Callithrix jacchus: one gene and its partners. The protein of the gene in region 1 interacts with the protein of each later gene in a biochemical or structural test. Links are inferred from orthologs where the notes say so. Each region holds a gene or a part of one and is shown in the gene's direction. Other genes may lie near its edges.

Evidence for each region.
Region 2: the proteins of SKP2 (region 1) and CCNE1 form a complex in vitro, tested with the Homo sapiens proteins (2 studies listed by BioGRID, with this or other methods). The link is inferred for Callithrix jacchus from reciprocal best matches to the Homo sapiens genes SKP2 and CCNE1.
Region 3: the proteins of SKP2 (region 1) and CCNA2 are reported together in a solved structure, tested with the Homo sapiens proteins (2 studies listed by BioGRID, with this or other methods). The link is inferred for Callithrix jacchus from reciprocal best matches to the Homo sapiens genes SKP2 and CCNA2.

The regions. Positions count from the first base shown.
Region 1 is NC_133503.1:169,473,523-169,477,878, reverse strand, and holds part of SKP2 (S-phase kinase-associated protein 2), read left to right. Parts: intron 1-1,337; coding exon 1,338-1,481; intron 1,482-3,129; coding exon 3,130-3,264; intron 3,265-4,356. UniProt on the Homo sapiens protein: Substrate recognition component of a SCF (SKP1-CUL1-F-box protein) E3 ubiquitin-protein ligase complex which mediates the ubiquitination and subsequent proteasomal degradation of target proteins involved in cell cycle progression, signal transduction and transcription.
Region 2 is NC_133523.1:26,996,915-27,001,974, forward strand, and holds the start of CCNE1 (G1/S-specific cyclin-E1), read left to right. Parts: upstream 1-1,740; 5' UTR 1,741-1,884; intron 1,885-2,268; 5' UTR 2,269-2,292; coding exon 2,293-2,315; intron 2,316-2,415; coding exon 2,416-2,503; intron 2,504-2,697; coding exon 2,698-2,766; intron 2,767-5,060. UniProt on the Homo sapiens protein: Essential for the control of the cell cycle at the G1/S (start) transition.
Region 3 is NC_133504.1:75,870,089-75,873,394, forward strand, and holds the end of CCNA2 (cyclin-A2), read left to right. Parts: intron 1-472; coding exon 473-606; intron 607-944; coding exon 945-993; 3' UTR 994-1,749; coding exon of another isoform or gene 1,750-1,834; 3' UTR 1,835-2,132; downstream 2,133-3,306. Other genes in the region: EXOSC9 (exosome complex component RRP45), read right to left, coding at 1,750-1,834, 2,133-2,211. UniProt on the Homo sapiens protein: Cyclin which controls both the G1/S and the G2/M transition phases of the cell cycle. Functions through the formation of specific serine/threonine protein kinase holoenzyme complexes with the cyclin-dependent protein kinases CDK1 or CDK2.

The DNA.
Region 1 (4,356 bases):
TTAATCCTTGTCACTTAAGTGACGGTGTTTGATCATCTCAGTTTCAGAGATGAGGAAACTGGGTCAGGAATAGTGGGTTGATACATAAGTGGAAAGACAGGAATCTAAAGTCTGGCTAATTCCAGTCTTAACCATCACAGCATATCTAGTTTTGCTTGGCTTAGGGTTCAGGTAGCTCCCAAATTCACTTTTCTGTGAGGTGTTCATCTTCCTGAAAAATGTATATTGTTTAGGAAGAAAATGAATGTTCCAAAACTTTTCCTAGGTTGTTATTGAATGCTAGTTAACCTATAGTTTGCCTTCTTGCAAGAGGAGACATCAAGCATGAGATTCAAGACAACCAGAGCAGTGCTGATCTGGTGCCTATCAGTGCTGACCTTGGAGGCCAAAATGGATTTCTGTCTGGGCAAGAAAGATACAAAAGTGTGCTACTCTCTTAAGGATATCTTATCTACAGTCCACCTTTTTAATGATAAAGGTCAAATCACACACTGACAATTTCTCTATGATGAAATTATTTCATAACTCTGGCCAGTGGTCCTCTTATTTCGAGCACTATTAAAAAAGAAGATTCTAGAACACTTAAACATTTAAAAAGTTCCTTCATGTGCTTGTATTTTACATTTTCTTTTTTTAAATTGAATTCAAGATATTAAAACTCTCTTACTGTGCTATTCAGTACAGTTTTTGAATGTCCTTTTTGTTTTAGAAACACCATTTTTTATATAATCTTTTATAAAAATATAACAAAAAGTTGTATTTTTCCTTTCTGTTTTCACATTAGTTAAGCTTAAAAGATATTATAAGGCACAGCTGAACTATGGCTGTTCCTACTGGCTATCTATGACAACCTTATTTCACAATAAAATAACGCTAACTTTCCTTTGTTTAGTAATATTTTCATGTTACTACAGTAGTCGTGGTAATTGCTTAACAAAAGTGGCTAATAGAATCCTCTAAGAAGTTTTTAATCTACTTGCCTAGTAATATAATAATTAATTGATTTGAGCAATCATTTCTTAAATTTATCAGCTTGAATGCTGGAATATTATTCTCTGGTTCTAGATTATGGCAGTGCTAATATTCACATTGAACCATCTAAATTGGAAGTATATATAGAAAGAGAAAGATGGAAGCTTATCCTTGGTGAGATCGAGAAAAATTTTCTAGTACCTCAAAAATATCATAACTAATTGTATAGTCAACTTAAAAACAAAGGTTCTTTCAGAATGTGCGTAAAGGGGATTTAACAGCAGTGCTCTCCTTATTAGTAATGTTGAGGGTCTCCAGCATTTAGTGTGACTGACTGGCCAAATTAAGCACCTCCTCTTTTCTAGGTTTGACGAGTCTCTGTGGCAAACCTTAGACCTCACAGGTAAAAATCTGCACCCGGATGTTACTGGTCGGTTGCTGTCTCAAGGGGTGATTGCCTTCCGCTGCCCACGATCATTTATGGACCAACCATTAGCTGAACATTTCAGGTAAAGATGAAAAATCTCTGGAAAAGATGATTTCTAAATTTTGAGGTAGAAACAGATCAAAGCTTTTTTTCTTAATTCAGCCTTATAGCCTATGATAGGTTATCTTTGCAGTGTGGGATATTAATTGCATACTATACTTTGAGGACTTTGTGCTGAAACAGCATAGATTTCAATGACACTGTTCCCATTTCATTCGAGGTTATTGTTAATCTCTTCCTAGGGTAAAAGAAGCACAGTTGTCTTCTCAAGTCCTCAACTGATGGGGGCCGTGAGTCCCACAGGGCAGGCACAAGTAAAGCACTCACTGGCAGATGCAAGGCTGCCCGGATATTTTCCCACCACCCATTTCTGATAAAAAAAAAAAAAATGAGGAGTGTTTTCTTATTTGTAGCTTGGGGTTTATGATTTTGTTGGGGAGAAATTTGGAACCTGAAAAAACATTGCCCTCTTTTTGTTCGTTTTGTAGAATATTTTGAAAAAGAATTTTCTGTTACTGGTAATGTTGTAATACTAAGGTTACTGCTATCACATACTTGAGTAGAATAACTAGGTACTGAACAGAAAACAAACTGAGGACTGCAGAGCTAAAGATAAAACATGTCTCTTGACTTCAATACTTTTTCCTTTCTTTCTATAGTCAGAATCACGTTTCCCTCTGCTTTTTAATCCCATTCTCCTGTGGCTGTACCTTCTCGATCTCCTTCACACGTGTGATTTCCTTTGTTTACTCCAGGGTTGGTTCCTGGCTGCCGCCTTTTTCAAATCCAAATGCTGTCCTTGGACAAGCTGTGTCCTATACACCCACATTTATGCCCAGGACTCTCAGTTCCTCATCTATAGCTTGGCCCTCTTTCAAACTCCCAAATTTCTAATTACCTAAAAACTTCTGTACCTGAATTTCTTACAAGTACTTCAATATTAACATAACTAAAATCCAATTTGGCTTCCTTTCCCTCCCCTTCTGCAAGACGGAGTCTCACTCTGTCACCCAGGCTGGAGTGCAGTGGCGCAATCTTGGCTCTCTGCAACCTCCGCCTACTGGGCTCAAGCAATTCTCCTGTTTCAGCCTCTCTAGTAGCTGGGACTATGGGTGTCCTCCAACACTCCTGGCTACTTTTTTGTATTTTTAGTCAAGATGGGGTTTCACCATGCTGGCCAGGCTGGTCTCAAACTCCTGACCTTGTGATCGACCCGCCTCTGCCTCCCAAAGTGCTGGGATTACAAGCGTGAGCCACTGTGCCTGGCCTGGCCTCCGTTTAAAACTTGCTCTTCCACTGTCTTCCCTGTTCCACCGCTGCTCACCCACTCACCCTTGCCAGAAACCAGGAGCCATTATAGTCTTAATCTCTCCTTATCACCCACATCCAGCTCCTTGTTGTGATGCCCACTCATTGTTTCCTATGTGGGACTATATTGGCAGCAACATCTGTACTTGGCAAAAAATCCCCTTGAATTTTAAAATGAATGAGAGTGGGAATACACTAGTAGCAATTTGTTTTATGACGAAAGCTATAGTTAATGCTTGAAGTGTGTATTTCGGGTCTTGTTGGTGATTGGCTGCTCATTTGGGGAGCAGGAGGGGTCTGATTTGATCTGAATGTACCTGTGAGAGCCACCTATGGAGACCCTTTTTTCTCTCCCTGTTTAGCCCTTTTCGTGTGCAGCACATGGACCTGTCAAACTCGGTTATTGAAGTGTCCACCCTCCAGGGCATTCTGTCTCAGTGTTCCAAGTTGCAGAATCTAAGCCTGGAAGGCCTGCGGCTGTCGGATCCCATTGTCAAGTGAGTGGCAGCCAGAGTGTCACAAAGGCAGTTGTTTTTATGTGTATGAATTTTTTCCTGTATGTAACTAGGGTGCCCTTCTAGCCACATCCAGGTGGATACATAAAGTATCTAGTACAGTGCTCAAGCTTCTGCAGAACTTTTCAGGACTCGTTGAAGCAACAAAAGCTTGAATTCTAACTATATGCCAGGCCCTGTGCTAGGTTCTAGAGATACAAGGGTGAACAAATAATGCATGTGTATTATTTGGGAAGAAAACGAATGTTCCAAAACGTTTTCCAGGTTGTTAGTGAATGCTGATTAAGCTATAGTTTACCTTCTTGCAAGAGGAAACATTGAGCAAGACATGTCTGTTTCCTCTTGCAAGAAGGTAAACTATTTATGAGCAAGACAGATAATTACCATGCAGTGTGTTTATTAAATGTTTCGGTGAATATGTGGCAACACACGGGCGGCCTTCTTAGAGGAAGTGACTCTTAAGCTGAGTATTGAAGATATCTAGGTAGGAGATCTCCAGGTAATAAGACAAAGGAACCAGCCTAGGTAAAGCTTTCTGTGTGGTTCTAAACTCGTAAGTAGTTGGAAGTTGCTGGCGCACAGGACTCAGGAAGGGGAGTGACAGGAGGTGAGGAGAGTCAGGGACCAGATTGTAATGGGCCTGTATGTCTTACTGTAAGAAGAATGGACTCTTCCATCAAGAGGGAAGCATGGGCCGGTCGTGGTGGCTGACACCTGCAAGCACTTTGGGAGACTGAGGTGGGCGGATCACCTGAGATTCGGAGTTCGAGACCAGCCTGGCCCACGTGGTAAAACCACATCTCTACTAAAAGTACAAAAATTAACTGGGCATAGTGGCAGATGCCTGTAATCCCAGCCACTCAGGAGGCTGAGGCAGGAGAATCGCTTGAACCCAGGAGGCAGAGGTTGCCGTGAGCTGAGACCATGCCATTGGATTCCAGCCTGGGTGACAAGAGCAAAACTCAGCCTCAAAAAAAAAAGAAGAAAAAAAAAAAGAGGGAAGCATGGTGGAGAGAGTGGTTCTGAGAATGCAAGGAACATGTCAAGAGTTGAAATTTAGGAAATTAACCTGCC
Region 2 (5,060 bases), on another chromosome or scaffold:
ACGGGCACACGATTGATTGGGGGTTCAGGTGCCTGGTGAGTCCATGCTGAGCAAGCAGCCCAGCAGCCTTGGCCTCAGAGCGCTTGGGGGGTCACAAATGTGTAAGCCTCTTCAATAAGACCCTGGATCTAATGTCAAGAAAAAGGTCACTAGGGGAGGGTGAGGGGCAGGACTGAGACTTTAGCTTAAGAAGGGCCCTGGGGAACGTTCCAGAGCCTTCTTTTATGCACGTCTTCCTGAAGCTGAGCACAGAGAATACTCTGAAGTGATGACTGTTCCCTACCTGTCTCTCTCATTAGCTGGCAAGCTCTGCAAGGGCTTGGCTAGTGCCTGTCTTTCATTCAGAAACACAATTTAAGTGTCTCCTTTGGTCCAGGCACCCAAGAACTGAGGGTTACAGCAGTAAGCAAGATAGGCAAGGTGAGGAGAGAGAAGAAACAGACTGTGTAGGGGCTGGGCTCCCAGCACTTTGGGAGGCCAAGGCGGGAGGATCGCTTGAGATCAGGGGTTTGAGACCAGTCTGAGCAACATAGCGAGACCTTACCCCTTCCCTCTCCCCCGACCCAGAAAAAAATATAAGTCTTGAGGGAGGAAAGACAGAGGAGCTGTGGAGGGGAGGCCTGAGGTTTGAGGGCAGGGTCAGGGCCAGGTCCTGTGGAGCCTGTAGCCCAAGACAGGGAGTATGGATTTGATCCTTAGCTGATGGGAAACAATTGGAAGACGTTTTGTTTCTTTTTTTGTGTGTGGAAATGGGGTCTCGCTGTTACCCAAGCTGGTCTCAAACACCCCAAGGGGTCGGCGGTCTCGGCCTCCAAAAATGCTGGGATTCCAGGCGTGAGCCACGGTGCCTGGCCTCAACTGGAAGGCTTTAAGCTAGAGAAGCAAAAATGCTCGGGAATCCCAGGGTCAGAAAGGTCTTCAGAATGCCCCGGAAAAGCTTGCGGGGGAGGGGCGCGTATGATAGGGAGGAACGGAAGAAACTCACATATTAGTTGAATGAATGAATGAATGAATGAATGAACGACCGACCCAGTGCACTGAAGGATGAATGGACAGGAGGCCAAGAATAGCAGCTGATCCCCAGGGAGCCCCAGACCCCGCGGCCTGAAACCTTGGTTCTAGGCCCAGGCACAGGCGTGGTGACCTTGGGGATGTCCCCGCCCCGGACTCAGGGCCCGGAACCCGGCGTACCCGGGGCGGGGAAGGCGTGCCTAGTGGGACAGCGCGCGCGGCGGAAGAGCGGGCGGCGCTTCCCGGGCAGGCCCCCCACACATCCCTCGGCTCGGTCCTGTAGGGGCCCGAACCCGCGCCGCCTGCCGTGTTTACATTCCACCCGCGCCGGCCACGCGGCTTTTTGCCGCTCCAGAGCCACTTGGCCCCGCCCCCGGCGCCCGCGGCCCGCCCCTTGCCGCCGCGCGCCAGACTTCTCCCGCGTCCCGCCCGCCGCCCCGCCCCGCGTCCCGCGCCCCGCGCCCCGCGCCGCCCGGCCCTCGGCGCGCAGGCCCTGTCACTTGGCTCCGCCCCGTCGATCAGGCCCCGCCCCCGATTCCCCGTCCCTGCGCCTCGCTGGCCGGCGCCGCGGAGGGGCGGACCCGGGGGCGGGGAGAGGGACGGGGTGGGGCGGGCCCCGGGCCCGGCGCGGCCGCTGAGGGGCTGAGAGCTGCGGCGGGGCGGTGCGAGGGCGGGCCGGGGCCGGTTCCGCGCGCAGGGATTTTAAATGTCCCGCTCTGAGCCGGGCGCAGGAGCAGCCGGCGCGGCCGCCAGCGCGGTGTAGGGGGCAGGCGCGGATCCCGCCACCGCCGCGCGCTCGGCCCGCCGCCTCCCGCCGCCGCCGCCGCCGCCTGCCGGGGCTGGAGCGTGCTGCCCGTCGCGGACACGATCCTGGTGAGGCTCCAGCTGCGGGCTGCGGGCAGGGACTCCCGGGGCCCGGATCGCGCCGGGGATCTGGGTGGGGGCGGGGTGCGACCAGGTCGCGGGTCCCCGGGCGGCGGCGCGGGGCTCCCCAGGAGGGTGCTGGGAGCGCGGCGGAGAGGGGTGGAGGGGGACACTGAGGCAGCCCGGGCCCCGGGAGGCGACGGATGGGGAGGGGGCGGCGGGTCCCCTGGGTCGGGGGTCGGCAGGGGTGCGGGGCGCGGGCGGGTCGCGGGTGACAGGCCACCCCACCATCGGCCATCTTCCCGGCCCGCCCTGCCGCCCGCGAGCGAGGGGGGAGGGGTGCCGGGCCCGCGGCCTGACCCCGCTGCCGCCTCACCCCGCGCCGCCCCGCAGGCCTCAGGCCGGAGCAGTCCCACCATGCCGAGGGAGCGCAGGGAGCGGTGAGTGCCCGCGCCGCGGGGCTGGACGGGACAGGACGGGTGGCGTGGGGGAGGGGCAGCCACGGGTGCTCACCCGACCCGGTGCCACCCGGGTCCACAGGGATGCGAAGGAGCGGGACACCATGAAGGAGGACGGCGGCGCGGAGTTCTCGGCTCGCTCCAGGAAGAGGAAGGCAAACGTGGCCGTTGTGAGTACAAAGGAGACAGGTTGGGGAGCACTCCCCCATCTCACCTGGGTACCTGACTTGGCTCTGCCTGCGGGGCGGGGGTCCCTTGGGCAGGAACGGTGCTCATAACCTGATCAACTTTCTCTTCTATTCTCTCTCTATTTTTGTCTTGTTTGATGTGTCTCCTTGGGGCCGTGGGGGTGGCTTCATGTTAGTTTTTGCAGGATCCAGATGAAGAAATGGCCAAAATCGACAAGACAGCGAGGGACCAATGTGGAAGCCAGGTAGGTCGACCCGGGGTTGGGCCTCTGTGGAGGTCCTTCTGCTGTCTGTGAGTCACATGGCGTTTCATGTTTTCTTGTGTCCCGATGAAGACACGCTGGTGAGAATTAATTTCTCTAATACAGCCACAGCCCATATGGCCCAGCACTGTATGTGTCAGTGGGCACCAGCCTCTGCCAGTCCTGGGGTTCCAGGAGGCTTGGTGTTCCTGACTGGCACCATCTGAGATTACAGATATGTGCTGATGGCTGGAACAACCAGCGTGGACATCACATTGTTCACTCCTCCCTTCTGCCTGGGAGGAAACTGAGACTCAAGAAGAAATTAATCCAGAGTCCTGTGCCATCCAGGGGCAAAGTTGGGCGCTTGGCCTTGTCTGTAAAAGTTGGTGAATTGGGGAAGGGTTCCTGTGTGTTCATAAGCAACAGCACCCCCCCCCATTCTATATCTATTTTGTTTGTCGTGGTACTTAAGAACCTCCTCATCTTCTTTAGGTTAGGTTTCAAATTCTCCTCTTTCTGGCCCTGAAGTTCTTCTAGCCCCTCCAGCAATTACCTGCATTGATCCCCAGCTCAGCCTGACCTCAGCAGGAGTATCAGTGGACCATTCCATGTAATGATAGGTGGTGTCTCAAGATATTTCCTTGACGGCTTTTCTTTTCTCTCCTTATGGAATTCCTGCCGAATTTCCTGCCTGCAGGGTGATCATCATTGTAATATTAGAAGTTTCTTGCAGGAAAAGCTTGTACTATCTCTTTACTTTCAGAAATGACTGGAGACTGTAGCTATGGCAGGAGTAGGGGAAGCAGCCTATCTCTAAACTGGCTGGTCAGGCCTTCTGCCTCTATCACAGATAAATGCTGAACATTAACAGTGTTTGAGCTGAGAGCAGGAATCCCAGCTAGGTTAGCAGAGGAGCAGGTCACTTAGCACAACAGCAGCCAGGGGACGCATGTTTCAGGTGGGGACGCATGTTTCAAAGCAATGGGCTTGTGTTCACAGTAGCCATTGTCACTGCACATTAAGGCCCCCCCCCAAAATAAGCATTTCTGAGGAGGATTCAGTGAATATGGAAGGAAGAGTTGCTGATTTCAAAGAAGGCTTCCTTGGAAGAAGTCATTTCAGAAAAGGAAATGAGATGGCATATCCAAAGTTTTCTTTTTCTCCCCTTAAAAAAAAAAAGTATGTTCAAATCAAGCAAGTTGATTTTGTAGGTATTATAAAATGAATCCTGACTTTGTGAAATTCAGGATTGTTTATTTTCCCAGCTGTGTTTTGAATAGAAAAGAAACTTCCAACTGATGGTGAAGCAGGGCCGTCCCGGTTGCATTCTTGGAGTTTTAGAAGCGTGTCTGTTCTCAAGGATAGCCTGAGCGACGAGGGTGCCTGGGACGGACTGTGGCTCTGTGCCCTGGCCACAGAGCATGAATTGCTGTGCTACTGGAGTAGCCATATCATTTCCCACTAGAAGGCACTTTCGTGGTTATCCAGAGATGAATGGCAACAGATTTCTGTACATTTTGTAGAGTAGATAGCTTAAACATTAGCTGTCTATCTATGGAGCAGTATCTTTGTTATTTCTCTGTGAAGATTCATGAAACTAGAACTCTGGGGTACAACAGAACCTTTTCCCTGTTCACATACAGAAGTTTTCTCTGGAGTTATCATACTTCCCCCCCCAGTACAACAATCCTGAGCTACTCGGAGCCACAGTGCTAGACTCTTGTGAAAATGCTTCAAGACCACATTTCGATTTTCATCTTAGGCTGTTCTGAATGAAAAGAATACCCTTTTATCTGAGATCCGTTTAATTTTTTTGCATGAGACCCAATCTTTCCATTGAAGTGGAATCCTGTACTGTTACTTTTCAGAAAATAATCCTCATAAGGAAGAAAAGTAGTATGAGGAGTCAGAGTGGTTAGGAATCCCATTGGTCTGTTGCTGTTATCTAAATTCCTTCCTAAATAAAGTCAGACGGGTCTTGCTTTGAAACTTGGTGTACACTCAAGTAAAGGACATTCTCCCTCATCCGCTGGTCCCTAAAAAGGCCAACTTTGGAAACCATTCGTCTGCTCGTGGTTCACCTAGTTCGCTTGGGAACTGTTGCTGGACTTGTTTCTATCCAAAGGCTCGCTCTGAGATGTGTCAGCCATCTGGCCGTAGAGGGTGGCACCCAGCTTTATGCCTTCGAGACTAGAATTCATTCTTCCTGAATGAAGAACAACTTATACAGCGGTTGTAATGTGACCCTTTTTGAGTGAAGGAAATGCCACCCGCACATGGTACTAGAACTGAAA
Region 3 (3,306 bases), on another chromosome or scaffold:
TGAACTGTGTGAGTCCACTTACACATGAACCTTTTTCCAGTCAAATGTGGATTGAAAATACAGTATTCAGGGAATTCAAAACCCATATATATGGAAGGGTGACTGCAGGACTTGAGGGTATAGAGATTTTGGTATATTCGGGGAAGGTCCCAGAAGCAATCCATCGTGTATACTGAGGGATGGTTATATACAGTTTAAGGCATGTTACCTGTTGTACAGCATCTGTTTGTCAGGTGGAAAGCTTAGTTGTAACTTGGATTGAAAGGTGAGCTTTTTAAAAAGTCTCTGATCTATTGCTGGCAGGGAAAGCAGCAACAAATGGATTCAGAGATGGAATAGTGGCCTGAGAAAACTAGTTGGAAGAGTTAAAGATTAGTACTGGAATGTAACATAAACTTAATGCCAACTGTTAACTCTGTTTGGTGTGTTACTAAAAGCAAAACTCAGGGGTTCTCTATTCCCTTCTCTGTAGCCTGAATCATTAGTCCAGAAGACTGGATATACCCTGGAAAGTCTTAAGCCTTGTCTCATGGACCTTCATCAGACCTACCTCAAAGCACCACAGCATGCACAACAGTCAATAAGAGAAAAGTACAAACATTCAAAGTAAGAATTAACTTGGATATTGAAGCTACTTTTCTAGACTATAATTTAGAGATCTTTGACATTCTAACTTTATTCATGAATCTGCCATAGCCTCCTTGAGAATCTGTTCTCTTAACTGGTTATGTGTTCGAAGGTTGTAGTTAATGCTTTCTGTCCTGGGTCTAGGGGAGAAGGGAGAAGGAAGGGGCATGGATGTGTATTTCAGGTATTAGACAATGTTTCTAAAACCATCAACTCGGTCAGATATAGCATTTTTTAGTTCCCAACACATACATTATTCCATGATCTTCTTTACCCAGTGAATGTTTACTAAAAATGTTTTTTTCCCCTATTTATAGGTATCATGGTGTTTCTCTCCTCAACCCACCAGAGACACTAAATCTGTAACAATGAAAGACTGCCTTTGCTTTCTAAGATGTAAATCACTCAAAGTATATGGTGTATAGTTTTTAATTTAGGTTTTTACAATCATTTCTGAATACAGAAGTTATGGCAAAGTACAAATTATGGTATCCATTACTTTTTAAATGGTTTTAATTTGTATATCTTTTGTATATGTATCTGTCTTAGATATTTGGCTAATTTTAAGTGGTTTTCTTAAAGTATTAATGATGCCAGCTCTCAGGATTATAACAATAAATTGATTTGGAAAACTTTGCAAGCCAAATTTAACTTCTTCAGGATTTCACTTAGAAAAGTTAATTTGGTTTACTGTAATGGAAAGTGAAAAGCCTTCCTCTAAAATTAGTTTTAGGAAAACAGACTCTCAAATTCTGACATTCATATTCCTAAGCAACTGGATTAATTTGCTGACTTGAGCATAATCTAAGCATATCTGGAATAAATCTGTACTTACCAGTAGAGTGGAGATCCCTAGACTTTGGCTCTTTGTAAAACTTGATTAGGTTTTGTGAGGTAAACTCAACAGAGGCTGGGAGCAGGAGAGAGGTGGGAAGCTTATGTGCAAATTAACAGACAAGAAATGCTCCAGAAGGTTTATTTCAAAGCATACCATTAAAAACAAAAAACTTTTAAAAATCCTGCTAGATTTTATAATGGATTTGTGAATAAAAAATACCCAGGATTGTTAGAATGGAATAAATACCCTTTTAATACTTATATACAAATATACAACTGTTAGCTTTAATTGGCAGCTCTCTTCTTTTTTCTTCTTTTCACTGGCTTTTTATTTGGTGCTTTCTCCTGTTTTACACTGATGGTCTGTGTTCTGTGAATATAAAGTAAGAATTTACTAAGAGTATGCTTGTTAAATTTTGGATTATTGAAATAAGAGGCATTTCTTATTTTTCTAATAGGATATAAAATGTGTCAGCTATGAGTAAAAGTGGTATCCAAAGAGTTTTTATAAGTCACAAGGTGTAAATCACAGAACAGATGGATATCTAATGAAAAAGGGAAGTCTTTTTGTTTATAGTCGTGTGGCAAGATGAGAGTAAAACCAGAGAGCAAACCTCTAGAAGTGTTCAGTATATGTATACATTTGAAATAAACCAGAAATTTGTTACCTTATTTTCTTTGGATTCTTGTCTGGTTCTAAAATGATCATTTCTTCTTCTTCACTATCGGAGAGTATTATGGGAGCATCTTTGTTTAAAAAAAAAAAAAGTTAATCTTGGAAAATTTATTTCCACATGAGTTTATTTCTATCAGATGTTCTAAAACTCTTATTTCCAGGGCTGGGCATGGTGGCTCACACTTGTAATCTCAGCACTTTGGGAGGCTAAGGCGGGTGGATCACCTGAGGTCAGGAGTAACTTATTTGCCTATAATAGAGAGCCAGCTCATGCTACTCTTTAGGTGGAGGCTTTCTTTTCTCTAAATCAGCTTCGTAGGGCTCTCTAGAACTCATCTGTAACACTTGTTCCTTTAAACTCTTATTTCCTATAGGTTCTTAAATGGTGTGACAATTTAGTACATGCCATCATAGGAAAGTGAGGGGGAAATTTATGTTTCATCTTTTGTGGAGCCAACTGAATTGTTTGCCCTACTTTATTACCAAAACTGACCATGAAAAATATTACTGGCCATTTGTATTTTCTCTGAGAACTGCTCCACATCTTTTGCCCATTTTTCTCCTGATCATTGTAATGATATATATAAAATGTGAATTAACCCACATCAATTCTTTGTATTTTTAGTTTTCGATTGGTTTCTCCTGTTCTTTGCTCCATTTCTCCAATTCTTAGGTCTACCTTCATTATTTTCAGTTGAAAATGTAACAGTGAAAAAATGGAAACAACTGACATCTTCAACAATAAGGGAATTGTTATATTCAGTGCTATACAGGTCTATGCAGCATTAGCTTACATCACTGCACAGAGAGTAAACATCTGGAACAAGTTCTGGAAGAATAATACCAAATAGAAATAACCACTGGGAAAGTTAAATAAGGGTCCCAATCAATGGGAATTCCTTTCCTTACCTATTTACTTGAGTAATTAAACAAAAAGCTTAGGCTCTAGTAATGTTCATAAGCAATAATTTATCTCCTTGAGAATATAAGTATTTGCATTACACTCCTACTAAGCATATTGCCTTCAGTTTTCCCTGCCAGCCTAGTTCGCAGTTCCTTATAAGATTTCTGTTACTACATACACTGGCAAGAATTTGCTTTTTTTTAAAGTAAATATAACCATACATAAAAACAAGTTCTTCAGTTCTATAGCTTTCAGAATGCAA